7 separate regions of the Mus musculus genome follow, and all the other regions are reported to be linked to region 1. The links are microRNA targets in miRTarBase. Many come from high-throughput screens and were not tested one by one. Region 1 holds a microRNA gene; each other region holds the end of a gene's coding sequence.
The links. The annotated mature microRNA mmu-miR-15a-5p reads UAGCAGCACAUAAUGGUUUGUG and lies in region 1 at 1,106-1,127, opposite strand. An mRNA with a match to its seed (bases 2 to 7 or 8) in the 3' UTR can be bound and repressed. Matches are read on the target gene's strand: a 7mer-m8 pairs with bases 2 to 8, a 7mer-A1 pairs with bases 2 to 7 and ends in A, and an 8mer does both.

Region 2: the mRNA of Atp7a is a reported target of mmu-miR-15a-5p. Seed matches in the 3' UTR shown: 8mer at 3,675-3,682, 8mer at 3,421-3,428 and 7mer-m8 at 239-245.
Region 3: the mRNA of Cx3cl1 is a reported target of mmu-miR-15a-5p. Seed matches in the 3' UTR shown: 7mer-m8 at 3,122-3,128.
Region 4: the mRNA of Polr2m is a reported target of mmu-miR-15a-5p. Seed matches in the 3' UTR shown: 7mer-m8 at 829-835.
Region 5: the mRNA of Pik3r1 is a reported target of mmu-miR-15a-5p. Seed matches in the 3' UTR shown: 8mer at 4,050-4,057.
Region 6: miRTarBase lists Pfkfb4 as a target of mmu-miR-15a-5p. The part of its 3' UTR that is shown has no 7-base or 8-base seed match.
Region 7: the mRNA of Ankrd13b is a reported target of mmu-miR-15a-5p. Seed matches in the 3' UTR shown: 8mer at 1,466-1,473.

What each region holds. Positions count from the first base shown.
Region 1 is chr14:61,630,970-61,635,035 of GRCm38, forward strand. It overlaps Mir15a (microRNA 15a), which reads right to left and starts at 1,141; the gene lies at 1,058-1,141. It overlaps Dleu2 (deleted in lymphocytic leukemia, 2), which reads right to left. Exons shown (of 7, transcript NR_028264.1): 4 at 1,468-1,514. It overlaps Mir16-1 (microRNA 16-1), which reads right to left and starts at 1,003; the gene lies at 911-1,003.
Region 2 is chrX:106,124,246-106,128,311 of GRCm38, reverse strand. Atp7a (ATPase, Cu++ transporting, alpha polypeptide) reads right to left here. Exons shown (of 23, transcript NM_009726.5): 23 at 152-3,973. The coding sequence ends at 3,697. Among named protein-coding and RNA genes, the nearest start is that of Tlr13, 17 kb to the left of the region's middle.
Region 3 is chr8:94,779,872-94,783,937 of GRCm38, reverse strand. It overlaps Cx3cl1 (chemokine (C-X3-C motif) ligand 1), which reads right to left. Exons shown (of 3, transcript NM_009142.3): 3 at 1,511-4,066. The coding sequence ends at 3,382. Gm51543 (a long non-coding RNA gene) reads left to right here. Exons shown (of 2, transcript XR_003947437.1): 2 at 1-2,837. Among named protein-coding and RNA genes, the nearest start is that of Gm51543, 4.1 kb to the left of the region's middle.
Region 4 is chr9:71,475,836-71,479,901 of GRCm38, reverse strand. It overlaps Polr2m (polymerase (RNA) II (DNA directed) polypeptide M), which reads left to right. Exons shown (of 4, transcript NM_178602.3): 4 at 362-1,465. The coding sequence ends at 505. Among named protein-coding and RNA genes, the nearest start is that of Polr2m, 8.1 kb to the left of the region's middle.
Region 5 is chr13:101,681,082-101,685,140 of GRCm38, reverse strand. It overlaps Pik3r1 (phosphoinositide-3-kinase regulatory subunit 1), which reads left to right. Exons shown (of 16, transcript NM_001077495.2): 16 at 72-4,059. The coding sequence ends at 261. Among named protein-coding and RNA genes, the nearest start is that of Pik3r1, 85 kb to the left of the region's middle.
Region 6 is chr9:109,029,773-109,033,838 of GRCm38, forward strand. It overlaps Pfkfb4 (6-phosphofructo-2-kinase/fructose-2,6-biphosphatase 4), which reads left to right. Exons shown (of 14, transcript NM_173019.5): 14 at 557-2,453. The coding sequence ends at 616. Among named protein-coding and RNA genes, the nearest start is that of Shisa5, 6.8 kb to the right of the region's middle.
Region 7 is chr11:77,468,203-77,472,268 of GRCm38, reverse strand. Ankrd13b (ankyrin repeat domain 13b) reads left to right here. Exons shown (of 15, transcript NM_001373882.1): 15 at 446-1,784. The coding sequence ends at 674. Coro6 (coronin 6) reads right to left here. Exons shown (of 10, transcript NM_139128.2): 6 at 3,899-4,003; 7 at 3,663-3,808; 8 at 3,302-3,359; 9 at 2,982-3,212; 10 at 1,786-2,890. The coding sequence ends at 2,768. Among named protein-coding and RNA genes, the nearest start is that of Mir12181, 2.7 kb to the right of the region's middle.

The sequences.
Region 1 (4,066 bases):
GAAAGAGAGCTCGAGCCTTGGTGGTACTGGGTATATTCTGTACCACTGTAGCTCTCAAGAAACTCTGGAAAGGTGTTCAAGACTTAAAAATACTTGTTATATTATTAGTCAGTGCTCCATCTGTGGATCCAACCAACCACACATTCAAAACATTTGGGTGGCCAGGCATTGGGGCCTACAGTTTTAAACAAAGAATTTGGGAGGCGGAGGCAAGAGGATCTCAGTGAGTTTCATGGCAGCCTGGTCTACATGGTGAGACCCAGGCTCAAAAGACCAAACCAAAAAACTTATTTCTTGGACAAAAACTGCATTAGTACTGAATTGTACAGTTTTTTTCTCATCATTAAGAGAATAACTTGAATAATACAACTATCCATGTTAACATCCCACTGCACTACACATTAAAAACAATGTAGAGATAAGTTTAAATAAGTATAAGGGAGGATATGCACTGGTCACGAGCAGACATTTTATACAGGAGATCCAAGCATTTACAAATCTGGGTATCTAGAAGTCCTATAATCAGTTCCTCACACAGAAGTCATTATGTTTTGTTTGTTTTTAAAAGACAGATCCTTACATAGGTCTTAGACTTGCTTTATGGCCAAGGATGATGTTAAGCCTCTAATTCTCTTTTTTCCACTTCCTCAGATCTAGGATTACAAGTGTACCTGGTATGCAGTGGTAAGGCTAAAACCCATGGCCTTGTGCATGCTAGCAAGAAGCACTTGGCCAACTGAGCTGCATTACCATCCCACAATTATATAGTATTTTAACAGACACAATATGTAGAGCGTTGTTACTAACATCATTACAGAATCATACCAAACATAAAATCACTAATGCAATTAGAAAAACCGTGTAAACACACAAGTAACATCAATACACATTGAATTACAGTTGTAGAGTATTGCCAACCTTACTTCAGCAGCACAGTCAATACTGGAGGTAATTTCAGAATCTTAACGCCAATATTTACGTGCTGCTAAGGCACCGCTGACATTGCTATCATAGGAGCTATGAATAAAAAGACAGGTACTCTCTTCAGAAGATCAGGTCCTTGTATTTTGAGGCAGCACAGTATGGCCTGCACCTTTTCAACATCCACAAACCATTATGTGCTGCTACTTTACTCCAAGGGTTGGTTTTGAAAACTCCTAGCACCTCAATAGTAATTTACAGAAAAGGCTTTTTAGGAAAAAGTAGAACACATAAAATCTATGTTTGAAAAAAATCTAACACTGGTATGTGCATAATTTTATAGGCTTTCAGCAGAATAAAAAGTATTTCCATATCATAAGTTTAATAAAAGCGTACAGAAAACTTAATACAGTGCTGTAATTTATTGTAGTCATGAAACGAGAAAAGCAAGTCATTTTCCCATACCAACTTAAGAACCTCATTTATTAAACTAACAACTTTTGAATGTGCTTAACACATGAAATAGCTACAAAAGTTGGTTTTTACCTTATTAAGAGCAGCACATCTTTCAAAGCCAAATCCATAGGACAAAGCTTCATGTTAAAGGAAACATGTAAGAACAAACATGTAAGAGCTCAGTTTCAAGAAATTTATACTAGCAAAATATTTAGAAGACATACACATGAAACATATTCCCCAAAAATATATAACCCCCAATCTACACATGAACACAAGATTTATCTCAATATTGGAATAGTTATTGTGAGTTCAGTGTCATTTATTATTACCCAGAACATCATCTTAGGATAACAGGTCTATTTGGTTTCCTAAAAGGATATATCAGAAATCCTGTAGCTCAAGCCTAAGTAACCATTTGTGTGTTTCCCAGTTAAAAAGGCTAGTCCTTTAAAGGAGTATCATTTTATACCACAGGACTTTGACTTAGCTGAAACAAAATTTTTACTACGTTAAGTTCCAACTTCATTTTATGTGTGTGTGAATATCTAGGTTTTCTTACACTATTAAGAAGACTCTTTTCTGTTTAGTGGGGGACTTAGCCATCCCTTCACAAAGAACTGTTCTTATTATTCCAGTTCATACCAGATTTTCCATTCAAACTAGATTACTGTGTAGCAAATGTTTTCTAGTGGGTCAATGCCATTTCTCCATTCCCGTTCATGTTGGGTCATTTGAAATATCAAAACGTCTTTAAATCTTCAAACCTTTGCTTTCAAGTGTGCCAGCTTAAAAAAAAAAAGTCTGAAAATAAAGATAAAAGCTGCTAAAAGTGATTTTGTCCTTTATCTTTATACAATGATTATAATTTCAAATTCAGTGGTTTTTTGAGAGAGGTTTTGAGGACAGTGGCTGCTGTCCTGCAATTCATTCTATAGACCAGGCTGGACTGGAACTCAGAGATCTATCTGCCTGGTTTCCCTCCTGCATGCTAGGATTAAAGGCGTGCACCATCATGCCCCGTTCCAAATTCAGTGGTTTATATTCTGGCCTAAGGACCAAAATAATTTTTCTTTGTTGGGTTTTTACATAGTTCAACTTTTTACTAATGTTCTTAAAAGGAAAAAAAAGCCATTCTGAAAAGAAAACAAAATGTTTTGCTTAAGAAGGTAACTTGAGTGTACATAGGAATACATGGCAATCTTTAAATACCTGAAATTAATATTATTCGTATAAGAAAACAGAATTTTACAACAATTTAAGAAGATAGATCAAACCAAATTGTCCTATTTCCCCCTTCAACTCTATTTGTTTCCATTAATATTTTTCTTTAGAAACATTTACTTTTTACCTTATAAAACTTCTAATATTAATTCATCTTGTTTCCATAAAGCTTAGCACTTCACAAACATTTATAGGCATGTTGCCCAAGCTATATCATCATCTTGACTGCATCAGAATAATGGGATACTTTTTGAATTTAATAATAAGCAACCAGTAATTTGTTGGAGCACAATGACAGAATACAGAATCTGAGGTCCGAACCCTGACACTGTCCTTTGAGTGTCTCCCATGGCTGTTATTCTAGTACACTGACCCTTTCTGGTTCCCTATCTGCAAATGAACCATTAACATACATATAAGCCTTTGTAGGACGCTTCTGAACCATAGCCATCTTATGAAGTTGTCTAAGAACATGGAGAAAACACTACCAGGTTTAAGTTCTGATGACAGAGCAACAATTCTCAGGGCACAAAAAATCTACTTAAATAGCAAAGCTAAAGGCATGAAATACTGCAACAAATTTGGGAAGTTAAAAGCTGGGTATGTTAATATCTTTGATGTGGCAATAATGCCACTATAAAATCTTTGGAACTGTTTCTTCTCTAAACATTTTAAATTCCTAGTTCTAAAATTTGATATGTGAAAAGTGACAGAATCATTTGTAGGGCATACTACTAAATAGTTAAAAATTCCATTTCCATGTGATTTTTTTCTAGGAAAATGAGCTTATGTAACATATTTGAAAAAGAAATTGTTCTAACAACAACAACAACAACAACAACAACAACAACAACAACAACAACATACCCAAATTTTATTTAATGGCTATGAAAGGAAAACTAAACTGATTGTTTAGGCCAAGTCAGGTATGGTGATCACTGACAACTGAATATGTATTTCAATTTGCTCATTTTTTACATGGAAATTTTTGAAATTCAAGTTGCAAGGCTGCAGAGTTACTCAGTGGTTAAGAGCATTTTGTTGCTGTAAAAGACCCAGGTTCAGTTCCCAGCACCCACATGGAGCCTAAGCACTTCCTCCAGCACGCACTGCAGACATACACGAAGGCAGAACACTCATACTTTAAAAAGCTCAAATTTCAGAACAGAAGATGACAACAATAATTCACACTAAATGTTCTGAGGATATTATCCCAGTGCATTTATGCTTAAAAGTGAAAAAAAAAATCACATTGTATCAGATTGTTATATTTGCAAATTTAAATTCCTACCCAAACCAGGTGGGTGGCTAAGTGTTGTGAGTGGAACATGCCTATAATTTTGGCACTCTAGAGATGGAGGTAGAAGGATTACTATACAGATTCAAGGCTAGGCAGATAAGCTGTCTCAGACAAAGAAAATGAATATACACCCCACCAAAATTCAGAACCTGGTATAACTGTTTA
Region 2 (4,066 bases), not on the chromosome of region 1:
CCCAATAAATGCACGGGCTCAGCAAGCCTGTTTGTTGTTAGTGCTCTATCTGCGGTGAGCGGACATTCACTCACACTTCCCCAGAAAAAGTTCAGGCAGTAAATGGGATCTTCACAGCACCTAGGGCTCCCCCAAATCAAGCAAAGCTCATGGAGGGGAGACACCGTCTCAAGAATTTATTAGACACTACAAAGGAGAAGAGATCATGCACATTCCTTTGTTTCGTGTTCTAAGTGACAGCAGCAGGGCAGCGGGATCTGAGAGACAACAGATTTTTGTCCCCTACCTGAATGTGGGCTGCTGCCTCTGATCCTGACACAGCACGGATTTACAGCTGAAACAACAGCCAGACAACCACACTAGCACAGCGAGGGCAGTGTGGATCTGCTGATAGAGGGGGCTGGATGACTTAACACAGCGACACTTGACAACATTTTTTTTTTAAACAACACTATAATTATAAAGTTGAAGGCACATCTTCGGCAGAAATATCAATTACATGCACATGAGAAAAAACAAACTAAACTACAGAAACGAAATATTGCACAAAGTTGCCCGCTCCTGTTTTGGATTCTAACCAAAATTTCATAATACATTTCTTTAAAAACACAAGGTTGAGACACCTGGCTCTGGCTACAAAAGTCAATTATTATCAACATCATTAAAGAAGCTAATGTGATTGAGAAATAAGAATTCATGCTTTGTGTTATAGCTAGCTACTCATACCAGACGAAAGGACTTAAGAAAGTTAGTGTAAAAGTTGGTAAAGATTTGGCATGAATCAATCTATCTATCTATCTATCTATCTATCTATCTATCTATCTATCTATCTATCTATCTATCTATCTATCTATCTATCGATATTTGGTAAAGAAGTATGTTTTTTAATACAGAAAGCAAAATAACTCAAAGGAGTGATTATGAGGAATGTCTGTATAAAAAGGAGAAGGAAGAAGAGAAGGAAGAGGGAGAGGAGGAGGAGGAAGAGGAGGAGGAAGAGGAAGAAGAGAAGCAGCTTAAGCTTTAACCAGATGCCTCATACAAAAAAATAACAAAGTAGAGTAAAATAAGTAAAATAAATATGAAAAATAATTTTAAAACAGAATCTACACGTAATGGAAAAATCCTCTACTATACGTTTTTGATTTTAAGCTGTGTACAGAAAATATATGCACAGTCACATTTTTGGAAACATCGTGTCTATAGTGCTATTTCAATCATTCTCTATATCTATCTGAATGAAGAAAATTTTTAAAAAATTAAAGCATAATATAAAATTATTTGTTCATAAGGCATCAAATGTAACTTCCTAAAATGGTGATACTAAAGTAGGAAAAGCAACATTTCTATTTCACACCTAACAACTATCCTTTTCAAACTACAAGAGTAAATATTCTAGCTGTGTTTTAATCTTAAATTCAAAAGGCATCTTTGGATATTTAAGTTAAAAGGTGGCCCCTAGCTGAATCCGCATTAGCACTGGACAGCAAAGTGTCCATGGCGCCTTCTGACAGGGACAACGGTTGCTGAGTGAATTCAGAAGAGTGGCAAGGAAAGTATAAAGAACCTCGAAAGATGTATGCTCTCTCCCCCTCTCTGTCTCTGTCTCTCCGGCTGTCTCTCTCTGTATGCATGTATGTGTGTGTGTGTATATACATGTGTATATACATACACATACACACACATACATGCACTTACAAAACCTGTTCTGAGCAGTGGCCCATTACTTAAACCAGTGGCCAACTGAAAGTAACGTGCTTGATCTCCTCTCTAAAAGACCCTCCTCTCTAAGGAATACAGCCTCTCTCCAACAGGTTCTTTTCTGGTAGTGAGACCTGAAATGCTGTTCTCACTGCCCTATAACTTGATGTGGAGGCAGGAGGAGGACTCAACAACATATACAGAACAGAAGGAGAAACTGGCTGACGACTGGGGGACTTATGTTCTCATGGATGCAGAGCAAGAAAAAACTACTGGACATCTATAGTTTAGCTCTCTCTTCTAGAAGCCAATGAGCTATATTATGATGATCTCCTAGAATTAAGAAACAAATATACAAACTCAAACTCTTAAGACGGCATAAGTATTGGTTTAAAATACAGTTTAAGCATATAAACTTATTCATACTTCATTAAAACAGGTTTGCCTTTCTAGATTAATAGCACCTTCATCAAAAGTTTCACCTCTCTAAGATAGCTAAGATAGAAGTTAGGTCTTTTCCAAATCTGGAAAGACAGCATTGAAAAATGTAAACGTTTGTGGGTGTTGGGTGTGAAGGAATAAGAGAGAAAAGTGGTGGAGTGGACAAAACCCATTCTCCATTTCACTTTATATTCCAGTAATATAAAACATGATTTTTATACTCAATATTGACTTGAAAAGGAGAAATGAACATTTTCAGAGCACAAATTATATGTTAGACATTATGCTAGTAGCTTAAAGTACATGAAAATAAAAGATTAAGAGTTTATAAACACAAATATTTTGAATGACAGAACAACATACTTAACTACAAGATATCATAAACCAGGAATATTCTGATTTCTCTATTACAGTTTGGTGTGTATTTTGATAAAAGCAGCTCTGTGCGATGAGAATATTTTAAAGTCATTTTGATAAGTTATTTAAAACAGAGGCGACTAAAATTTTATTAAATTATAATATACCAGCCAAGTGATTATATCCCAAAAGATGAATTTAATGAGACCACATACTTTTCTATGGCCCGTATATGTTAATATATTAGTGTTAATCTTTGAAGAATTTTTCAGTGAGAGAGGTTCTAAGTTTCTCGACTGGGACTGATGGAGAGACTGCATCTACTGTGAACAAAGCTGAACTGAAAGCTAGCACAGGGCTGGGGAAACTGAAGGAAGATTTTGAGATTTCTGACAACAGTGGAGAAACAAGAGGGTACAGAACCCTGTAGATCTTATGGTCTTCTGAACGACACAGTAGGATGAGAAAAGTAAGATTTCAGAAGAGCTGCCAGCTACGAAAATGTTTTAAGACAGGGTCTTAGTGTCTGGCTTTGAACTTGTAATTCTCCTGCCTCATTCCAAGTGATTGTTGTCAGTTATTTTTATCAAGGAAAAACCACCTAAACTTGGCTCACTTGAAAGGAGGTGACAAAAGCCATCCTGCAGGCTCTTAGGAACTAAAGGACAATGACACATGAATTATGAGGTGAAAGCAAGCCTACAATAAATAAGGCACATCTGTTTTGAGACAGTTGCAACTGTTTTCCTTCTAAACTAGGTGCTTTGTACAGTGCTTTGAAAACCATTGCTCCCCAGTGGGGCAAGTATATAGGCTCAAGAATACCTTCAAAATCATGCTCTCAAATCTTCACATTTTTAATCGTCCTGTCTTTGGGCACTTTTTTTTTTTTTTTGGTCAAATAAAAATGATCTGCCATATTAGCAGCACATTAGCAACTTCTAACTATAGAGCTTGTTCTAAACTTACTGTTCTCCCCTCTGTATCGCTAATGAAACAAAAACTGCTGGGAACTTCTTCTAGATAATGCCAGGTTCAGAGCTCCTGCCCTGAGAAAGATATTTTCACCATTACCAAATACAACTCAGATAGAATCCTGCACGTAAGAGCATGAGATTGACATAAGATCCTTCTACATCAACGTAAGTGCTGTGTCAGTGCACGTGAACTTTAACTAGCAGCATCCCCCAAGGCTTTTTACAGTGTGGTGTCATCATCTTCCCGGAAGTCGCCCACCAGAAGCGAGTGCTTGTCAGGTTCACTAGTAACAACGCTGTTCAGGGAGCGCTTGTCAGACAGCAGTGAATTTATGGAGGCTCTGCTATAGTTGACAATCCGGTCCAGCAAACCCAGCCTTGGAGAATTTCTTGAGGTGTCATCTATTCCAACGTGAACACTGATTTCTGAAGGACTCCTCTGTCCTGTGTGGCTCCGGGGATGCAACTCATAATTGTCATACGTAGGTTTCCTGTAACTGCATATAAATTTAAAGCAATCAGATGTTAGGTAGATGCTTGGTGTACGTACAAACAAAAGTGGCTACTGCTACAAAACTTGCTTGGACTGA
Region 3 (4,066 bases), not on the chromosome of region 1:
GTGTCTGCCCGTGTGATGGTGCCTGGAGTGTCAGGGGAGGGGGAGAGTATCAGATCTCCTGTGAGTCGCTTGATGTGGGTGCTGGAAGCCAAACCTGTGTCTTCTACAAGAGCAGAAGGTGCTCTTAACTCTTTCCAGCCATCTCTCCAGCCCCTCGCTGCCTCCAATGTTTTTTTTTTTAATTTATTTATTTTATGTATGTGAGTACACTGTAGCTGTACAGATGGTTGTGAGCCTTTATGTGGTGTAGGACCTCTGCTCCCTCTGGTCAACCCCATTCGCTCCGGTCAGCCCTGCTCGCTCCGGTCAACTCTGCTCGCTCAACCCTTGATTGCTCTGGCCCAAAGATTTATTTATTATTATACATAAGTACATGTAGCTGACTTCAGACACACCAGAAGGGGGCATCAGATCTCATTACAGGTGGTTGGGAGCCTCCATGTGGTTGTTGGGATTTGAACTCAGAACCTTCGGAAGAACAGTCAGTGCTCTTAACTGCTGAGCCATCTTGCCATGCTGCCTCCAATTTTAAAACTACAATGTAGACACTGAGTCTAAGATGTTATTGATAGAAAGATGTTCTGACATTTAATAACTGTAGAATATGTGCCATTTTGCATTTTACTAATAAAATCTAGCTACTCAAGCGGTTGAAGGCAGGAGGACTATAAGATCTGCTTAGGCCAGTCTGAGCAACTCAGACAATGTGTCAAAACAAAACATGAAGAAGAGAGCAGAGGGTGCAGAGGTCAGGAGTACAGCGCTTTGCCTTGCACGCCTGAGTCCTGGGGTTTTAGCCCTATTCAGAAGGAAAACCACATAAACTAACAAACAAACAAAAACCCAGCAGAATCACGGATAGCAAAGTAAATCCCAACTCTAACACATCACAGTGAGGGGGAAAAAAATGTCCGTTTTAGAATTCATGAAAGATTGTATACCATAGGCTGGACCTGACCTGAGATAACCCTGTGCTGTTTTCAACCTGCACAACTGTACGCTGGGACTCTAATGTTGTATATTGAAAAGCGGAAGGGCCGCTGAACGGCTCACACTTGGGTCCTATCTAGGAGCTTCCTGGTTTCTTGAGAAGAGCTAGTTAGTCCCTCTTCGTCTTTATACGAGTCAGGAATGAGTAGAGACAGTGTAGAGGAACATGTGGACATCATATATAAGTGACAGTAACATCAGGGTGGTGGCTCCTGGACACTGAGTAGGACCCACAGGGATCCTGAGTCTTGGCAGACCAAGAGATCAGTCACACCCACGTGCATAGAGGCCCAGGGAGGTGAAAGGTACCGGGTCACCATTACACACACAGAGGCAACACTGGGCCAGGCCAGGGTCCAGTTCTCCTCATTCCCATCTGCCTTCTGGGAAAATCCCTACCCCTGGTGCAAATGAGTTAGAGACCCAGGTCTTAGAACTTGTCCCCTCTCCTCTCCCATTCCCCATGCTCCCACCCCACCTCCACCCCGGCCGAGGCCTACCCCAGAGAAAAGTTCCCTGATTTAATTCACAAGACTTTAAAATTTTATTAGTAAAATACAAAATGGCACAGACATTGGTAATGATGCTTGAAAAAAAACCCTAAAGGATCAACAACTTTCAAAGTCCTCCTCAGATTGTTACGGCCCACATTCTGCTCTGGGAGGGAGGAACCAACAAAGTCCGATGACGGGTGTCCCAACCCTTAAAGGTTCCCCACCGAAGGAGCCAGGATATAGTGCACTCGGGCTGCTGCGGCTCAGGCCTACAACTGGTTCTGTGGAGCATGATCAGAGCCGCCCACAGGCTTCCCAGGAGGAGGGTCGACAAAGGGTTGGCTTCCTCACTCTCAGGAGCCAACTGAGCTTCCACCAATCAAGGAGTGAGTCACTGGCTTCTGGGTGAAGCTCGCCCCTGGGAGGCTCCTAAGGTGAAGTTGGAGCTATTCAGAGCAGGGTGGGTAGAAATGCCCCCCCCCCCCGAGGGGCGTGGCCTGCCGGCTCAGCTCCGCTGGGGTGCTGCTCAGCTGCTCCTTGCTTCAGCAGTCACTTTGCGCCCAGGGCAGAGTCCCTTCCAGAAAATGTCACAGGGCTCTTGGAGAATGCTATGGGAGTTCTGGCCCTGCCTGCAATGGGGGCAAAGGTGAGTCCTTGGCGTGAACACTGCTCTCAGAGACAGGAAAGGACCCTGGCAGCCTCTGTCTGACTATGCAAGTACACACATGCACAAGTCCCTACACTGAAATTGGGTTTGTGGCCACTCCAGGGGTTTACCCTGGATCCTCTGCCTCCGAGGGGCTTGTCCTAATCTTTCCTATGTGGCTTGTCCTTTAGCCAGGGCAGACCTGTGACTGTCACCTTGGTGCATGGGGGAGGGGTTTCTAGTGAGAACACAGGGGAAGCCATCTGAGTTGGCCTCTGTTCCTGCAAGTCCCCAACTCAGCCTCCATTTGGGGGGGGGGCATACAGGGTACGATCTGCACTCTCAAGCCACTCCTTGCCAGCCCTCAGAATCACAGGGTACAAAAATGTCAGTCCAGTGGAATGGCAGTGACTATTAATGTTGATAAGGGGTGGGGTTGCACCCAGGGGTGGAGACAAGGATCTCAGAGAAAGTGATGATGTCAGGGCCATAGGTTATTGCCAGCTCTGGACCACGTTTCTTTCCTTTTACAGGTGGGGCACTTTGTGGTGCTGGTAGCCGAGTGGGGACTGGACCCTTCCTTCAGACGCAGCATGCCTTCACAGCACATCCAAGTCTGGGGAGGAACACTTTAAACCCTCTCGCAAGCTTGTCTCCCTTCCCGGAGAGCTCCAGAAAACACAGCTTTAACCTCATGCAAGAAAAGACACAACAGCGGTGTTGATGGTGATGGTGGTGCGCTCTGTACAGGGGATAGAGGGAGACATAGGGCAGATAGCACCGCAGCTGGCCGGGGAGGAGAAGGGCTGGCGACTGCAGCAAAGCCAGGAGACACAAGGAGGTCAGGGGGACAGGCAGATAGGCCTGGCCTGCTGCTTGTGATATGGGCGGACCACGGTGCGCGCGGGAAACAGGTGTCGTCGCAGGGGCTGGGAATCCAATAAATAATTGTTCACTGGAGTTGGGGTGTCAAGGGCCCCTCTAACCAGCCAGCAGCAGAGGATTCTTTCAAATATAGAGGAGCTGGAAGGTCACCTGCTCTGTCTCTGATAAGTGAATAGTGGTCTAGGGTGGCCTCCGGGGCCACCCCTCGGGGGAGGGGGGATTGGATGGAGCCCACAGCCCCTGGAGGGTCCAGCTTCTCCATTCCCATTTCCCCAGCGTGGATGAAGGTGGGTATGAGGATGGGGGGGGGGGTCCCCAGACAGCTGTCCGAATCACACTCTGGACACAGGCAGGCAGGCAAGCAGCTCACACTGGCACCAGGACGTATGAGTTACTGCCACAGCTACGGGGGACGTAGCGGAGGCCTTCTACCATTTCCCCCGCCATTTTGCGGGGACAGCCCTGAAGGCTCTGGTAAGCAAACATGGCCACCCCTAGGCAGAAAAGAAGACCAAGGAAAGCCAGTAGCCCCACTGCCTGCCTCCTTGTGGCTGCCTGGGTGTCGGGGACAGGAGTGATAAGCACACTCAGTTTCTGGGGATCTGCAGTGGCATGGATGGGTTCCTCTATCTTAGGAGCCTGGCTGCCCGAGGCCACCAGCTCTGGGCTGGGGGTCTCTTCAGAGGAGATGGGAGCCACTGAGGGGTGGACTGTGTTGCCAGGCCCCCTCTCCTGGAAATTATCAGTATGAACTGGGTTTATCTCCTCAGACCCTAGAGACTTCTCTGGACTGAGGTCCTGTCCCTGGACCCATGGGGGTTGGCCTTCGGACCCAACATTTTCCTCTGGGGTTGAAGGTGAAGTAGTGGACACCTGAGGAGATGGGGCTGTAGTGGAGGGGGACTCAGTAGCTTTTTCCTCAGCCCAGGAGCTAGATCCAGATTGGTAGACAGCAGGACTCGGCCAAACGGTGGTGGAGATGTCAGCCGCCTCAAAACTTCCAATGCTCTGAGGCTTAGCCGTAAGCCCTGCATCCTGTGCCTCGGAAGTT
Region 4 (4,066 bases), not on the chromosome of region 1:
AAAACATGATTTAGTCTAGAGAAGAAAGTCAGTGGAAGATGTCAGCACCACATTGGTGATTTCTAACAAAGGCAGGTGGTTCACTGCATACGCGACACTTCGTGTGTCTATTAATGGCTGCTGTAGTGCCAAGCTGGTTTCTCAGTGTCTTGTGTGGAGGTGAGCTGTTTTGATTGCAGCTGGGAACTGCAGCAGGCTGACAGCTCTCGGAAACATTGCCCCATGTCTTGACAGGACACTAATGTCAGCTGCTTGTGTTGCCAGAGAGACAGTGGGAGCCAATGTTCCTTTATTTCCGGTCCTGCCACATATCTAAGGGGAGCTGTGGATGTGTAACTTGGCCTTTGTGTTTGTTTTAAAGGAGATGCAGGCAAAGCTCGCAGCACAGAAACTGGCCGAGAGACTGAATATTAAAATGCAGAGCTACAATCCAGAAGGGGAGTCTTCAGGGAGATACCGAGAAGTGAGGGACGAAGCTGATGCCCAGTCCTCGGATGAGTGCTGAAGACAGGGCTGGGACACCCCGAGAGCTGGCTGCAGAGCTCTCATTGGCTCATCGAACTTCCTAACAAGTATCAAGACCAGCGTCAGACCTTGTTGAGGGACAGCAGGTTTTTAAGTTACACAAAGGTAGCTACAAAGTAAGAACCCAGTTTGTCTTTCAGAAGACGCTCTTCACAGCTTGCACAGTTTAATATGTGAACCTTGTATTTGGCCGTATTGTGTTACAGTTTTGCAGTATGTTGTGCATTGGTCTGATATTTTAGTGTGAGTAGAGCACACGTTTTCTTTAGCTGCATTTTCCTTATCTGTACTCTTATCAGATAGTGCTGCTTACACCCTTTCTGGTGAAATACTTTGTTACCCCAGGCACCTAAAGTGAATTAGGAAGGCCTGGTTCCCTCGCTCAAGAAATGAAGTGTAAAGAATGGTCCACGTGCCTGCATGGACATGTTCCTGAGATGCTGGATGTGAAACACTGTGGAAGACACTCAGAAATGTTACAGCAAGTGCATTGGCTGATCCTGTCTCTCTGGGGTGACTGCTGTCTTCCTAGGATGAGGACAAGGAGCGCTGAAGAGGTGCTGGGCGGGGGAGGGTCTTCTGAGCTGGTGTGGGGAGCTGCTCCTGGCCTCCCTTGGCTTGAACTCATTGCTGTCTCGATGATAGGTCCCTGTACAGGGCGTTCACGTTTGGTAAGGAAACCGATGTTTTTCTAAGAGTTACAGTTGACTTGTGAGTACATTGCTTTTTTCATTTTTAAACCCAAAGAGGTGTTTATAGGCTGCAGAAACCTCAGTCATGTATGTACACATTTGTGTTGTTTAAAATGATTATATGATCGTTTTGAGCAAAGATAACAGTATGTTATCAAAAGCCTTTGTCTATTACGTGGAACTTGTAAAGAAGAAATAAAATACCAATCAGAGCAGCTCCCCGAGCTCATGGCGATGTGTTCTTGGTACTTGTTTGAGTTTCCGTTCTTTAAAAGCAGTGTTCATACATGAAGTTGGACTGAAAACACATTTAGATTAGACACATACTGGGAAGGGCTTGATTCCATAGTGGATGCTTCTAGCTGTCAGCACTTTCCACATCTCTCCCATGAAGAAAAGGTTGCTGTAAGAACAGTATGGAACCTGTGGTTTTAAAACTGCTAATAGGTGATTTCAAAACACATTGTTTTATATTCCTTATCTGGAATGAACTAGTGCTTCTAGAAGGCTGTAAAGGAGAGACCACACTCAAGCATGCAGTCGCAGTCAGTCCCCCTTGAGCTGACCACTTAGTCTGTCAATAGTCGAGTGTACTCTGATCTGCTTTCTGTGTAGCCATTTTATATGTATTATCAGTTTGCTTCATGTTTTGCAAACATTTCCTGTGTTAAATGTTTTATATCTCAACCATCTCAACCACAATATGCATTTTATGGCTGCTCTATAGCTTTTAAACAGTTGGATATCTTATGAAATGATTATATAACCAGTGCTTGGTGATGTGCGCAACACCTTGGACGTTCATTACATCTTGCCAGTCCCCAGAGCTGTTCTAGAAATGAACTTATGTTGTTCTTTTCTGTGAAGCTGGGGGTTGAACCTAGGGCTTAACACAGGCTGAGCAGTGCTCTACCACTGAGCTACATCACCAGCATCAGTTGACCTGATTTTTGAGACAAGGTTTCACTAAGATGCCCAGGTTAGCTTTGACCTTGCTTTTCTGCTTCAAGGCTTATAGGCCTTAGCCATTAGACACACTTGAGAAGTGAAATTTCTAAGTAAAATTGCAGAGTTTTTGAGGGGCTTGGTGTATGTTACTCACTACAGAGGTTATTTATAGTTCTACTAGAGATAAATAATTTAAAGTTAATACTTAAAGGATATTTGTAAATTAGTGAAAATTTAAATGCCTTTAAAATAAAATACATTTATTAATGAAGGTTAGATTTTTTTTTTTTTTTTTTTTTTTTAGCTTTATAGGTTAGTGAAGAGCTTTTTTTTTTCTTCTGAGAATGGCATTATCCATTTGCAATCTTTTGGAGAGTTTGCCTGCTTTCTTTACCAGATCTGATGAATGAAGTGTCCCTACCCTTTTATACTTTGTCAGGCAATTATTTTTTAGTGGGTGGGCCAATTGCCTTTTAATATAACTGATGATGTTTGATTTTGGCTTTATCCAGGAGCCTTCCTTTGTTTGTGTGCTTTAAAAGACTTGGTTTTTGTTTTTGTGTGTCCATCCTCCCACCCCCACCCCGTCCCCCCATTGTCCTACCCCTACCCACCCCCTCCATGGCCTTACTTTGTAGCTCTGACTGTCCTGAAGCTTAATTATTACACGGACCAGGCTGGCCTCAATCTTAAGAGAGATCTACCTGTCTCTTGTCTCTTGAGTTCTGTTATTAAAGACATTTCCTGCCTTTTCAACAGACTTCTTAACCCAGCAATGGCTATTTGTCTCTTCGCTTATCTTCCCTGGCCCCCCATATTTTCGTTTAAAGACTTTTTTTTTCCCAGTTTTGTGTATGTGTGTGCATGTCTGTGAGAGTATACACATATAAGTGCAGGTGCCTGTGGAAGCCAGAAGAGGGCATCAGATTCCCTTGAGCTGGAGTTGGAGTCAGCTGTGAATTGGGAACAGAACTGAGTCCTTTGCAAGAGCAGTGTGGCATCTTAACTGCTGAGCCATCTTCTCGCCAATCCCTTTATTCATTTTTTATAGTTAATCTTTCAATGAGAAGAGAGTTTAATCTTTTGTTTCCATGCATCAACTCATTTAGTCTGAACAACTCTGGGGTGAAAGGGAAGCGTCTGCTTCATATCAGACCTCTGTGGACCCTGGCTGAGGGAAGAGTTGCACACTACTTCCTGCTGAATATGCTACAGTTGGTTCAGTATCAGAAGCCATCGTGTTTTCTGTTTTGTAAAAATAGGATAGGAAAGTCCTATAAAGATGCCTTTTATGTCTTAGGCCTATTTCTGTTGTTTTTGTTTTTACTGTTTTTTTCGAGATAGGATTTCTCTGTATAGCCCTGGCAGTCCTGGAACTCACTCTGTAGACCAGGCTGGCCTCCAACTCAGAAATTCGCCTGCCTCTGCCTCCCAAGTGCTGGGATTAAAGACGTGTGCCACCACGCCCGGCTTGTCTTTGTATCCTTACTGGTACATACACAGATAGATGGATTTTAACTTTCGGTACTCAAAGAGCTTAATATTTGTCTAGTTATATCTGCTATAAATATCCTCTGCATTTTGGGGTATTTTATCCTTTTTATGGTGTATTGCTAATAAACACTTGGGGTGGCAAATACAAATTTTTTACTCAGTGGAGGTTTTAAAATTTTTATTTTTACTATGTATGGTTTCTTAAAATGAATTCTTTCCTATTCTGAACTTATCAATTTATAGGCTTTTTTATCAATTTATTTTTATCTTATGTTTATGGGTGTTGTCTGCATGTATGTTGGCACTGCATATATACATTGTCCACAGAAGGCAGAAGAGGGCATTGGTTCCTCTAGTTACTATTCTGTTTCTTTGATAAAACACAAAGGTGGCCTAAAGAATGCATT
Region 5 (4,059 bases), not on the chromosome of region 1:
AATACCCTGCAGCATTCCAGATCATCTGAGAACCACTGAAAAAGACTTTTTTGTTCCCTTCCCCTTTCCAGGGTAGACGGCGAAGTCAAGCATTGCGTCATTAACAAGACTGCCACCGGCTATGGCTTTGCCGAGCCCTACAACCTGTACAGCTCCCTGAAGGAGCTGGTGCTACATTATCAACACACCTCCCTCGTGCAGCACAATGACTCCCTCAATGTCACACTAGCATACCCAGTATATGCACAACAGAGGCGATGAAGCGCTGCCCTCGGATCCAGTTCCTCACCTTCAAGCCACCCAAGGCCTCTGAGAAGCAAAGGGCTCCTCTCCAGCCCGACCTGTGAACTGAGCTGCAGAAATGAAGCCGGCTGTCTGCACATGGGACTAGAGCTTTCTTGGACAAAAAGAAGTCGGGGAAGACACGCAGCCTCGGACTGTTGGATGACCAGACGTTTCTAACCTTATCCTCTTTCTTTCTTTCTTTCTTTCTTTCTTTCTTTCTTTCTTTCTTTCTTTCTTTCTTTCTTTCTTTCTTTCTTTCTAATTTAAAGCCACAACACACAACCAACACACAGAGAGAAAGAAATGCAAAAATCTCTCCGTGCAGGGACAAAGAGGCCTTTAACCATGGTGCTTGTTAACGCTTTCTGAAGCTTTACCAGCTACAAGTTGGGACTTTGGAGACCAGAAGGTAGACAGGGCCGAAGAGCCTGCGCCTGGGGCCGCTTGGTCCAGCCTGGTGTAGCCTGGGTGTCGCTGGGTGTGGTGAACCCAGACACATCACACTGTGGATTATTTCCTTTTTAAAAGAGCGAATGATATGTATCAGAGAGCCGCGTCTGCTCACGCAGGACACTTTGAGAGAACATTGATGCAGTCTGTTCGGAGGAAAAATGAAACACCAGAAAACGTTTTTGTTTAAACTTATCAAGTCAGCAACCAACAACCCACCAACAGAAAAAAGAGTGTGGAGAAGGAGACTTACAGTGACATTCAGTATATAAAATATGTACATAATATTGGGTGACTAACTATCAAATAGATGGATTTGTATCAATACCAAATAGCTTCTGTTTTGTTTTGCTGAAGGCTATAAACGTGCAGCGCTATGCAATTCTTAATTTTTATTATGTTGTTACCCGTTTCAAATACACCTTTGGAATAAGCTTCCCTTACCCCAGTTTTTGTTGCTTGAAAATATTGTCCCTGATTTTTGTTAATATTTGTTTTTGTCATTTTTACTTTTTTTTTTTAAAGAAGTGTACAGGATGCCAGAAAGGAGAATGGCTTAAGAATTAAAACTATGAAATATTTTACAGTTTTTCTTGTACAGAATACTTGGCTGTTAGCCCAAGGTTAAAAAGTTCATAACAGATTTTTTTTTTTTTGGACTAAATGTTGGGCAGGGCCCTGATAAGCTTCAAAGCTGCTTTATTCAATAAAAAGAGAAAAAGAAAATGATATATGATATGACAAAGTATTGCTGAGTCCAACAGTGTTAAGACTCTTGAAATACGGTACCTGGCAATGTTTGTTTCCTAATGAATTGTGAACTTCTTGAATCTGGAGGGAGGGGGAGGCAGTCATGGGTTGTAACAGGCGGGGTAAGGGGAGGGGGGGAAGTAAGGTGGTGTGCACTTTCTAGGGATCCCAGAGAAGGGAGGAGCCAGGCTGTTTGTCTCCTGTCTTTCCCCATCTGAGTTTGGTAGTCATTAGCAATTAACAGCAACTCCAGACCTAATGTTGTAACTCCATCCCAGCACAGTTGGCCAGCATCTCCGTTGTCATGAAGTGCTGAGTTTGTTCTGGGGTTCCTGGAATGTGCCCTCTTTCGTTGTTGTAACACACTGGTCTCAAGGTTGAATCCCTGCATTTAGAAAATGTGTTCTTTTCTCTTTGTAGCATTGGACTAGTCACAGCAGTCAGCCAGTCACCATTCATTTTGGCTAAATCATGGTCTGAAAAAACAGCATCTAGTTGGATGCTTGATATTTTTCCAGCTCTCTGTTCAGAGTTCAGTTTAGAATGGAAGGCAAGTAGACCCAAGTGGGTGGTCACTGTGCTTTGTGGAGATTGTTAAGTGCAAACATTTAACAGTTCGGACAGGTCTTCTCATTAGCGTGATTGTGCATGTTGCATACATCACGGTGTGCAAAGGGAGCAGTTGGTGACATCTTTAATTCAGGACAAAAGTTCGAGTTTCCCACCCTAGTGTATATGTGTCAAAGCTGGTGAGTTCATGGGGAATTGCCATGTGCTGTGATGGGTAGAGGTTGATGGTAGTCCCTGTCGCAGCCCAGGTAGATTCATGAGCCATCATCAGTTTCTCTTTCTCAATATCAGACACACCTGCAGCTTTATAGCTCTTCCCTTATTTGGGGGGGGGAAGGGGTCTTGTAATGTTGCTCTTGTTTTGATCTTGGAATTTGCAGTCCAGTGTCTGGGTTAATGGTCTGTAGAATGTGTTTTTCTTCCTATGAAGCCACTGCTCATTTTCAAGAGCAAAAGTCAGTCAACCAGACTGTCAGCCCACAAACTTGACCCGACCACCTCCTGACTGCCAGGAAATTGATTCCCCGGGTTGACTCTGGGCTTTGCAACCTCCAGCGGTAGCATTCCGCCACACCACATACAACTGAAGAGTTAATACTTATTTGTAAGCTAGGTTTGTGGTTGGCTTCTGCTCTCTTCTTCCTTTCTCTCTTTCCTTTTTCTTTTTGTAGCACATCATGTATGCTATCAGATACAAATAACTTTAATTTTTAAAAAGGATCTGAGATTGCTTCGTGACAAGTTCTGTTAAGTGGTTTTTTTTTGTTTTGTTTTGTTTTGTTTTGTTTTGTTTTGTTTTTTTCCTTCAACACTCTCTGCAAGATAACTTGCAACTTAGGCAGTTGCCTGAATTTCTCATCTCACTGACGTGAGTACAATAGAGCTTTCATGTGTCAGAAGGCAGGAGTCATTGAGTTATAGCACACCTGTCCTACTGAATGCCCTTTTGGTGACAGGTTAGCATGCTCACCAACTCTGTCCTTGGAGAGGTTTGACCATTAAGGTTCTGTGGATTCCATCCAAGCCATCTTCTAGTAACACCGAGTGGCTCATGAATGCAGATAGATACAGCATAGCTGGGATGTGAGCATGCCCACTCAGGTTTTCTCACCAACTGTCCCATTCTAGAGACAGCCAGACACTAAGCTAGACTATAGAAGTGGGAGGGTTGGGACCTTGTGTTCCACACCAGAGTGATCATAGCCATGGGATAAGGCAGCAAGCATATTTTGCAACATTTGACAACTTCACAGCCCTGGATATATGTATATATGTATAATGTGCATGGACTGTTTCCAATACACCTTTCAGCCACGCAGATCCACAGTCAAGTTCAAGTACATAACAAGCAGATGTCCAGTACAGGTCTTGTATATGTGTGTGTGTGTGTGTGTGTATGTGTGTGTGTGTTCCTGTATTTCTTTGCTATTGCTTTGTTTTGTCTTATAAAGTACAATTTGTCCACAAGTGAAGTGAGAAGTCCGTCATTTGATACTTTCCTCTTTTTAGAAGCTCTTCCCTTTCAGGGAGCAGCCTGGATGATTTGCTTACCTGATGGATCCCTGTTCTCAGTGTTGTCAAGTCAGAGTGTGTTTCTGTGAGCTGTCATTGTGGGGAACCAATCGCTTTGTCGTATATCTGATTATGAACTATAACTTGTTTGGGAAGTCCTACTGATGTTCTTTATTGGGAGAAAGTTCTTGCAGGTTTTCTCAACTGTGCTTTCGCAATGCATGGTATCCAAGTCAGTTGGAAAGTGGGTTTTGTTGTCTGTTCGAATTTAGGGTCATTTAAGAAAGGGGCAGTTAAGAAGCACAATGCCTCCCATGGGACAACATTCCAAAATGCCAAATTCTTCTCTTTCTTACAACAATCTATAATTATATAAAATAACTAGTACTGGGGGTAGGGAGAGGGTAGAATTGGCTCCATTGGAAAGACTCTCCTGCTTCATACCGAGCTTGTCGCCATGAGATAGCATTGGCTGCCCAGGATGCTGCTATT
Region 6 (4,066 bases), not on the chromosome of region 1:
ACAGGCTCGTGGAACCGAGGGAAGTCTTAAATCCCCGTTTCCCCAGCCTAAGATACCCAAAGCTCAGCAGGCCAAAGCTGGAACTGGGCTATGTAGCTTTTGGGGGTCATTCACAGTGAGAGCTTCAGGGGTATCACAGGGCCCTGTGGTTCAGTCCTGTGGAGATGAACCATATTACAGACTAGGAAACGTCTGTAGGCTGCTAGAGCCAGGAAGGAGGTGCACTCAGGGGCTAAGCCCCCCACCCCCACCTTCTCTCTTTCCCCAGCTGACCTGTTCTCCCATGGGAGGTTGAGTGGCCTTGCTTTGGGTAGCACCTGGGCTGCTTGCAGTGGAGTGGGGAGTGGGCAGCACCCTACCCCACCCTTGTCCTGTCATCTGAGCACCCATCAAGTGGTGCTTGATGGTGACATCCTGCTTAGGGCAGGCTAGGGGCTTTCAGCTGTAGTTACCAAGGTGAGTCCGAGTGTCTGTGTGGCCACAGTGATCAGGGCAACAGAAGTGTCCAGTCTATCCCTGTGCAGGGTGAACAGTCTTTGTCTTTGTTTTTGTGCAGAATGTAGACATATCCAGGCCTTCAGAGGAAGCCCTTGTCACAGTCCCTGCTCACCAGTGACCCTGACCTCTGTCAGAGGGGTCACTCCAGGCCATCTTGTGTTTGCTGTACTGATGGTGCCACCATGCAGGAACACTCCTGAAGCCATGGGTGGCTAGCAACACTCAGAACCTTCAGCCTGGCCCACCGGCCTCTTTGTTGACCACCAGTGACAGGTTGGGTATGGCTGCTGAGAATCCCTGGGCTATGTGCTCTGCTGCCAGCCCCTCTGCTACAGCACTCGAGCAGTCCACTCACCAGGCTGGCTGCTTCATGACGTTTGCAACCTTAAATGAGACACTGAGACAAAAAACTCTCACTAAGACATTCCACTGTGGCCCTGCTGCCTGATGGGGGCCAGGCAACCCCTGGAAGAGTTCTACTGCCCTCTCCATAGCTACTCTTGGAGCCAGAGGCTTGATCTTCATGGGGCCTTATGTGGACACCACCCCAGGTGAAGTGGAAAGCCCTTCCTTCCCTGCCTGGAACAGAAGATGGAGCAGGGAGCTTCTACCCACATCTAACCTCTGCATCTGTGGGTACTCAGGAGAGTAAGTGTGGAAAGGACCATGCGTGGCGCCCATTCCTAACGTCTACCAAGTTATACACTGGAATACAGGAGAGCTGCGGCCCAGGCTGCCTCGTCCTAAATTCTCTTTCGGGGGATCCTGTAAAGGCAGGGCAGCTTTAGGAAGTACCTTCTTGGTGCACACACCAAAGTGCTTATGGAAACTGGTCTCCCCTACCTGGCCGTTGCTGTCACTGTCCACACAGAACTGTACACTGGTAACGGGGACATGCCTTTGTCATGAGAGGCTCAGAACTGGTGGTCCTGTCGGACTGTCTTCCCATTTGCTGGCCTCTACCTGTAGGACTGAGGAAGGAAAGGACAAGGCATGAGGCAGCCCAGACCCCAGGAGGAGTCGCTGGCCCCACTCTAGTTTTGATTCAAGTACAAATTGAGTCCTAGTGCAAACAGCCTTATGAAGCCTGGTGCCTCCCATGCCCCGAGTTCTTGTGGGTCCACATAGCAGAGTCAGGCTCCATGTTTCAGCTGACCAGCAAGGTGATAGGCAGGTTGTGGAGCAGGGCAAGAAACTTTCTACAGCAGTAACTGGTTGCTCTAGTGTCCACAGAGCAGCCATGGGGAAGCCATGCCCTGCATCCAAGAACCGTTCAAAGCCCAAATCTGGCAGAATAGTCCACCTTTTCCAGCCCTGCCAGTCCTGGGCTGTGTAGCTTGCAGCTGCCATCTGCCCCTGAGAAGTCAGTGCCATTATTCCAAACTGCTGTCTGTGCGGGCCTAGGGCGGGACTCCTGGGCTCATCTCCTCAGACCTCCATGTCCTAGCTCGGAGCTGGAAGACCATACCACTGCCTTCGGGACATGGGCCCTGCAGCTTCTGCCCCGTGTCCCTCAGAGTCTGAGTGACGTTCATCATATCATCTGGACACTTGTTAGCCATAGCAGATGCCTGTGGTCGGCCACTGTGGATAATGGCTGGATGCAGCTTGAGGCAAAGACCACCAAAGCCTTTTTCCTCTGTGCCCCGGGAAAGCAGGAACTGATGGACCCAGAGGTGTAAGAGCCCAGGGTGGGGGCAGAGGGATGTCAGTGGAGCAGGAGTTGTGCTGGAACAGCCCCTCCCTCCAGCCCCTGAAGTGGCTTCCGCAAGGCAGTCGCATGGGGGGCTGGTTGTCAGGCTTTAGCTGAGTTGGTTCAGGGGTTCACAGGCGGACTGCCTACATTTCCTGCTTTCCCTAGAATGTATTATCCTGGTTTTCACTTGTGCATTGCACTGTGTCCAGCATTCTTTGCAATAAATACTTTAAAAAACAAAACAAACAAACAAAAACAACAACAGTAATATGAGGTGGTATTTGATATTTTGTAACTTGTTCTGTGGGGTGTGTGTGTGTGTGTGTGTGTGTGTGTGTGTTGGAATCCTTCAGTCAGCTTCTGCCCAGGTACCCCCTGAAGAACACAGCCAGGTGTGGTGGCAAACAACTGCAGTCTCAGCCTCTGGAGGCAGAGGCAGAGGCAGAGGGATGTCTTTCTTAATCAGCATTCTACTGCTCTGAAGAGACACCACGGCCTCAGTCAGCTGGAGCTTGCTTGCACTTTCAGAGGTTTAGTCCGTTCTCATCATGACAGGAACATGGTAGGACACAGGCAGACACGGTGCTGGAGACATAACCAAGAGTCCACAGGCAGGAGGAAGAGAAAGACTCTGGGCTTGGAATGGGCTTTTTGAAACCCCAAAACCCCAACCTTAGTGACACACTTCCTTCAACAAAGCCACACCTCCTAACCCCTCTCAAGTACGGCCACTCCCTCATGACAAAGCATTCAATATATATGAGCCTCTGGGGCCATTCTTATTCTAACTCCACAATCTTATCTTTCTCGATCGCTTGCTCTCAATTTTTAAAATTTAGTTATTTTTATTTTATGTATGGGCATTTGGCTGTCTGTATGTCTATTCACCATGTGCATGCTGGGTGCCCACAGAGGCTAGGAGAAACAGTGTATCCTCTGGAACTAGAGTTACAGTTGGTTCTGAGCTGCCATGTGGGTGCTGGGAAACGAACCTGGAAGAGCAGCCAGGGCTCTTAAACCTACTGAACTATCCCCAGCCTAGGATCTATAACCAAGCCTGGTTTTCTGAGTCTTTCGTCTCAATGTGGAGTGCTAAAGGCTCTAAAGGATTTGTTTGTTTGTTTGTTTACATATATACCATCCACCTCAAGTTTAATTTACACAAAACTTCAGCTAAATTGCTGACCCCTAGTTCCCATCCCTCAACTTCCACACCTAGATGTCCCCATGAACACAGGAGATGGCACTCACTGCCTCTCTTGCATACTCGCCTCTAAAATTCCAGCTGACCTTGGCTCTACCTTCAAAATAAGTGCAAAAAGGAATTTCTTGCCTAGAAGTCTGGGATTGAAACCCGACACCACAAACAAAAATGGCTGCAGTAGTTGCCCACATTCTGATCATCTTCTCTCCTAGATTATCATTTTAGGCTCCACAGGAGTATCTGGCTTCTCTGTACCTCATTAAAGTCTGTGAGTTGCAGTCAGAGCTCTTACCACCTGAAAATAATTATCGAGGGACTGGCGAGATGCTCAGTGATGAAGAGAACTCTTCTTGCAGAGGACCCGAGTTCAGTTCCCAGCACACACGATGTTCCACGCTGCCTGTAAACGCAGCTCACCCCTACAGGTGGCATACACACTGTGTACATAAAATAATTGGCTGTGTGGTGATGGCTTACGCCTTTAACCCCAGCAATTTGGAAGGCGGAGGTAGGTAGATCTCTGCGTTTGAGGCCAGCCTGGTCTACAGGAGACCCCAGTTAGTCAGTAGGGAACATCAGGCTCCCCCTTTTGTCAGCTTTCGACCTCCTAAATACAAAATAAAAAACTGAAAAGGTAAGCAGATATCTTCTTGTGTGTTTGTTTTTGA
Region 7 (4,066 bases), not on the chromosome of region 1:
GTGCCTGTTCCCTCTCTTACCCCAGACCCACATGCACAGAGATCCTCACTAAGCCATCATACTGCACAGTGACACTGGAACCCTACTAGGCCCAGAGAACCCTCAGTGCCTTCAACACCTGGTATCGAGAACCCGTTATCAAGATGGCTTCTGCCAACCCCCTTTCCTGGCACAGGGAGGGTGGCCAGTGCTCCAGGCATGTGCAGAGATCAGGGACCTAGCTCCCTGGACCTTCAGACCCTCAACAACAGACAGGTTGGCGGGACCTGGGATCTGCCATCACTGGGTGGGGCCCAGACAGCCCAGCGAGACTCATGGCTTCCCCAAGAGGGTGGCAAGCCTGCCCAGCCCTGGGACCTCCACGATGTCTCCTGCCCCGCTTACGAGCAGGTGTCCCAGGTGTGCCGGGAGCGGGGAGCGCTCGACAAATCCTCCCCGCCCCCAGGAGCGCCCCACCCACGCCGCAGCGCCAGCCCATGCCCCCGGCTCCAGTGCCCAGCCCTCGGCCCAGCCCAGGTCCCGGCTCCAGCAGCCATGTGTTCCGGAGCTACGACGAGCAGCTGCGGCTGGCTATGGAGTTGTCCGCTCAGGAGCAGGAGGAGAGGCGGCGGCGAGTGCGCCAGGAGGAGGAAGAGTTGGAGCGGATCCTGCGGCTCTCGCTGACCGAACAGTAGCGCCTCCTGCTGGGACCCTCGCCCACTCCACGCAGGACCCGGGTCTGCGCACCTGCCGAGCGGCTGCTGGAGTCTGGAGCCATCGCATTGCGGGTGTAGCAGCGCATCAGGCTTGAGATGCCAGGGGTTTGATACAGGCGTGGAATCACTTTCCAGGCCAGAGCCCTAGAGGGGTGCTGGTCTCCCTGCTTTGCTGTATGGTGACCCCTAATCCGCTTCTCTGGGCTCAGATCTGTCCAAGGGCGGAGGCAGGTGGTATTGAAAAGGAAACGAATCCTTGAGAGGAGCACTGTCCCGTCCCTTGCTCCTTATGGCTGGTCCTCCTTCTTGCTCACTGACCCCTCTCCAGGACACTGTCCCTGAAGCCTTCGCATCTCAGCTCTTCACCCCTGGGAGGCAGCTGATCGCCCTGCGTGCTGTGTCGCGCTGCTTTGTCCCAGACACAAACCAGCACGTCAAGGGCCTAGCTCCTCCCCACCCCGGCATTTCAGCGTCAAGTGCACTTAGCGGGGTACCCAGCCCCCCCAGTCCCAACACCTGTCCTGTGTCTCAGGGTGGTCCTAGCTTCTCCTTAGGCAGCCAGGAATTGGAACCCCCATGCCCGCAGCACGTTTTTCTTATGATCAGGGAGTGTGCCTAAGGTGCCCCCTAGTTTGGGCAAGGCCTGGTTCCCTCACGGTGCCTTGGGGAATGGGGGCAGCATATTGGCTTGGGGGCAAGCACTAGAACCGACACAAAAGGGTTGATGAGGGCCCTGGCACCACTGTCACCACCCACCCCTTCCTACCAGCTGCTGCTAGCCCTCTGTGGTTGTGCACCCCTCTTGCCCCCATTCAGGGGCCGACTAACACCCTTTATCCAATGGTGCTAACCCCGGCTCTCCCTTTTCCACCCTACCCACCTAAAGAAGCACAGGCCCCACGAAGCAGGGGCCACACCCTTGTCCTGGGCTGCCTTCTGGCTGGCTTCTCTCTGCCAGGGGCTCAGAAGGGGCACAAAAGGGGGTCAAGAAAAGAGCAACAAAGCAAAATTGTTCTTCCTCTTCCCTTCCCTGATGCCAGGGGCACCAGACTGATTCTGAGGCACAAATAAAAGCGGTTTCAAACCAGATGCATTTCTACTTAACTTTATTGGGGAGAAGTGCCCACAGGGGTGGGAGGTGGGTGGGGTCTTGGGAACCTCAATGCAAAGATGGATGACCTGGGATAAAAAGCTGCCTGATGGGTCCTCAGTCCAGCTTGCATTTGCTAGGTCTCCTCAGTTTTCCAAAAAGGACTGAGGTGCCCCCTAGTTTGGGCAAGGCCTGGTTCCCTCATGGTGCCTTGGGGAATGGGGGCAGCATATTGGCTTTCTGTGCAGGAGGCACAGACTTGTACTTAGTGAAGTATTTCATTAGTAATGCCTCAGTGTTTCTATAAGAGTCAGCAGAGTGCTGGTGTGTGTGTGTGTGTGTGTGTGTGTGTGTGTGTGTGTGTGTGTGTGTGTGTGTTGAACCTGCTTCCGTGTGCCTGTTCTCCTGAGATTTCTCTGGTGGGGTCTGTTTGTCTCCAAGAAGCTGCCGTCTTTGGAAGTGAGAAGATGGGAAGAGCCCTCTGCCATAGAATTATGGTTGAAGCCAGTGGGTTAAGCTCTTCTGGCAATAGAAACAGGGTGCTGCTTATTAGGAGAAATATTGGAAATTTCCTGAGGTTCTGGGGATATCTGTTGAATCGCCATTCCTGTGAGGTCAGGCCTAGGCCCCTCAGCATCCCCAGGATCACGCTAATACTAAGCACTTCCCCTGCCCAGGGTAAGGGACAGAGAGGGACACCACCTCACCATGAAGCACCACTGCTAAGGCCACATTACCCCAGGCTTCCCCGAGGCCTGATCTTGCAATGTTTGGGGACCTAGTACGGAGCTCAGTCCCTGCCACTTAAGATCTGTGTGTTCAGGCCTCTTGTGGGAGATGGAGTTTCTTTTCTGATCCCTCCCCTGATTCCAACCCCACGAGGCAGGGTGCAGAGTTCCAGACCAAAAGCCGGTGCTGCCAGTCGGTGCGCCCTGCCCCATTGAGTCTGCAGTGTGCAGAGCTTTGCAGCGCGTAGGCAGTGCTAGTCTGTGCCGTCCACCAGCTCACAGAGCATGTTTTCCAACGCAGTGATGCGCTCCTCTTGGGCCTGCACTCGATCTCGGAGGGCCTTTATCTCCTCCAGCAATGTCTCCAGGGTGTGCTGCTGCTGGCATGTGGGAGACAGAAGAGACCATGGCAGAGAGCAGGAGGCAGGGGATAGAGTCAGGGTGGCGTGGTCAGATCTCAGAGCTTACCGACAAGGGGGCCTCGCTGGCGGACTGGCTGCGCCGAGGACTGGCCGGCGGGCGCACATCTAGGATGTTGCGTTTGGTGACCCGAAGCTCACGGTGTTTGGGGGGAACGTAGCCTTCCTTCAGCGAAATGAGCACAGGTTCTGCATCCTGACCTGATAGCCACTCATCAGCTTCCAGGGCAGGCTCAGGGCCAGGCGTGTCTGGGTATAGGTCATCCTGGAACAGGTCTGACTGAGGGGGTGGGAGGACAGGAGGGCCTGTATGAGCTGAGCAGTGGATGGCTGTTTTGATGCTTTCCAGCCAACGCCCTCCTTCCTCACCTTTCGCGGTACAGTCATGATGATGGGTTCACACTTTCGTTCGTGCAGCTTGTAGAACCTATGAGGGAGGGGGAAATTCAACATTCCTGCTGACTCCCCATCCTTTTTTAAAATCCCTATGTCTGTGACTAAGGTGTTGAAAGTCAACACCACGCCGAGTAATTACCATTCACACATTATCAGTGTTGGGTTAAAACACCTCTGTTGGAATGTCAGGCTAGTAGGACAATGCTGGGACTGTCACTGAAAAAGACTAGTATGGCTCCTTTCTTTTTTCCCCAAAGAACAGCACAATTAGGGGAAGCCCGGGAGCTGACATGAGAAATAGAGGCAGGGGGACAGGAGGGACAAAAGTGCTGACCTGGCGATTTCACATTTGCTGACATCCAGTCCCCGCTTGGGCATGAAACCCATACCCCGTTGCGGTTCTTTGCTGCTAAATGTGTTCAGATAATGCACGAAAGGTGGTTCTTCCGTAATTTCAAAGTACCGAATGCTACTGTCACCCTGCAAAACCAGCCAATTTAGATGGCACTGCCAGACAGCGTGCTCACATCTTCATCCTGGCCCTGGTTCTTCCAGCCCAGCCTCCAGCACCTTGCCACACAAGTAGACGATGCTGGAGTCAGGATCGTAGAATGGTAGTAACACTCCGTTGCTTGTGTCCATCTCCTGCAGGGCCACTGGCTCTTCGAAATTGTTCTGCCGAGCACAGGGAGAGTGACCAGCCCTGTTCTTCCTCCCGGGTTACATCAGAATTCGCTT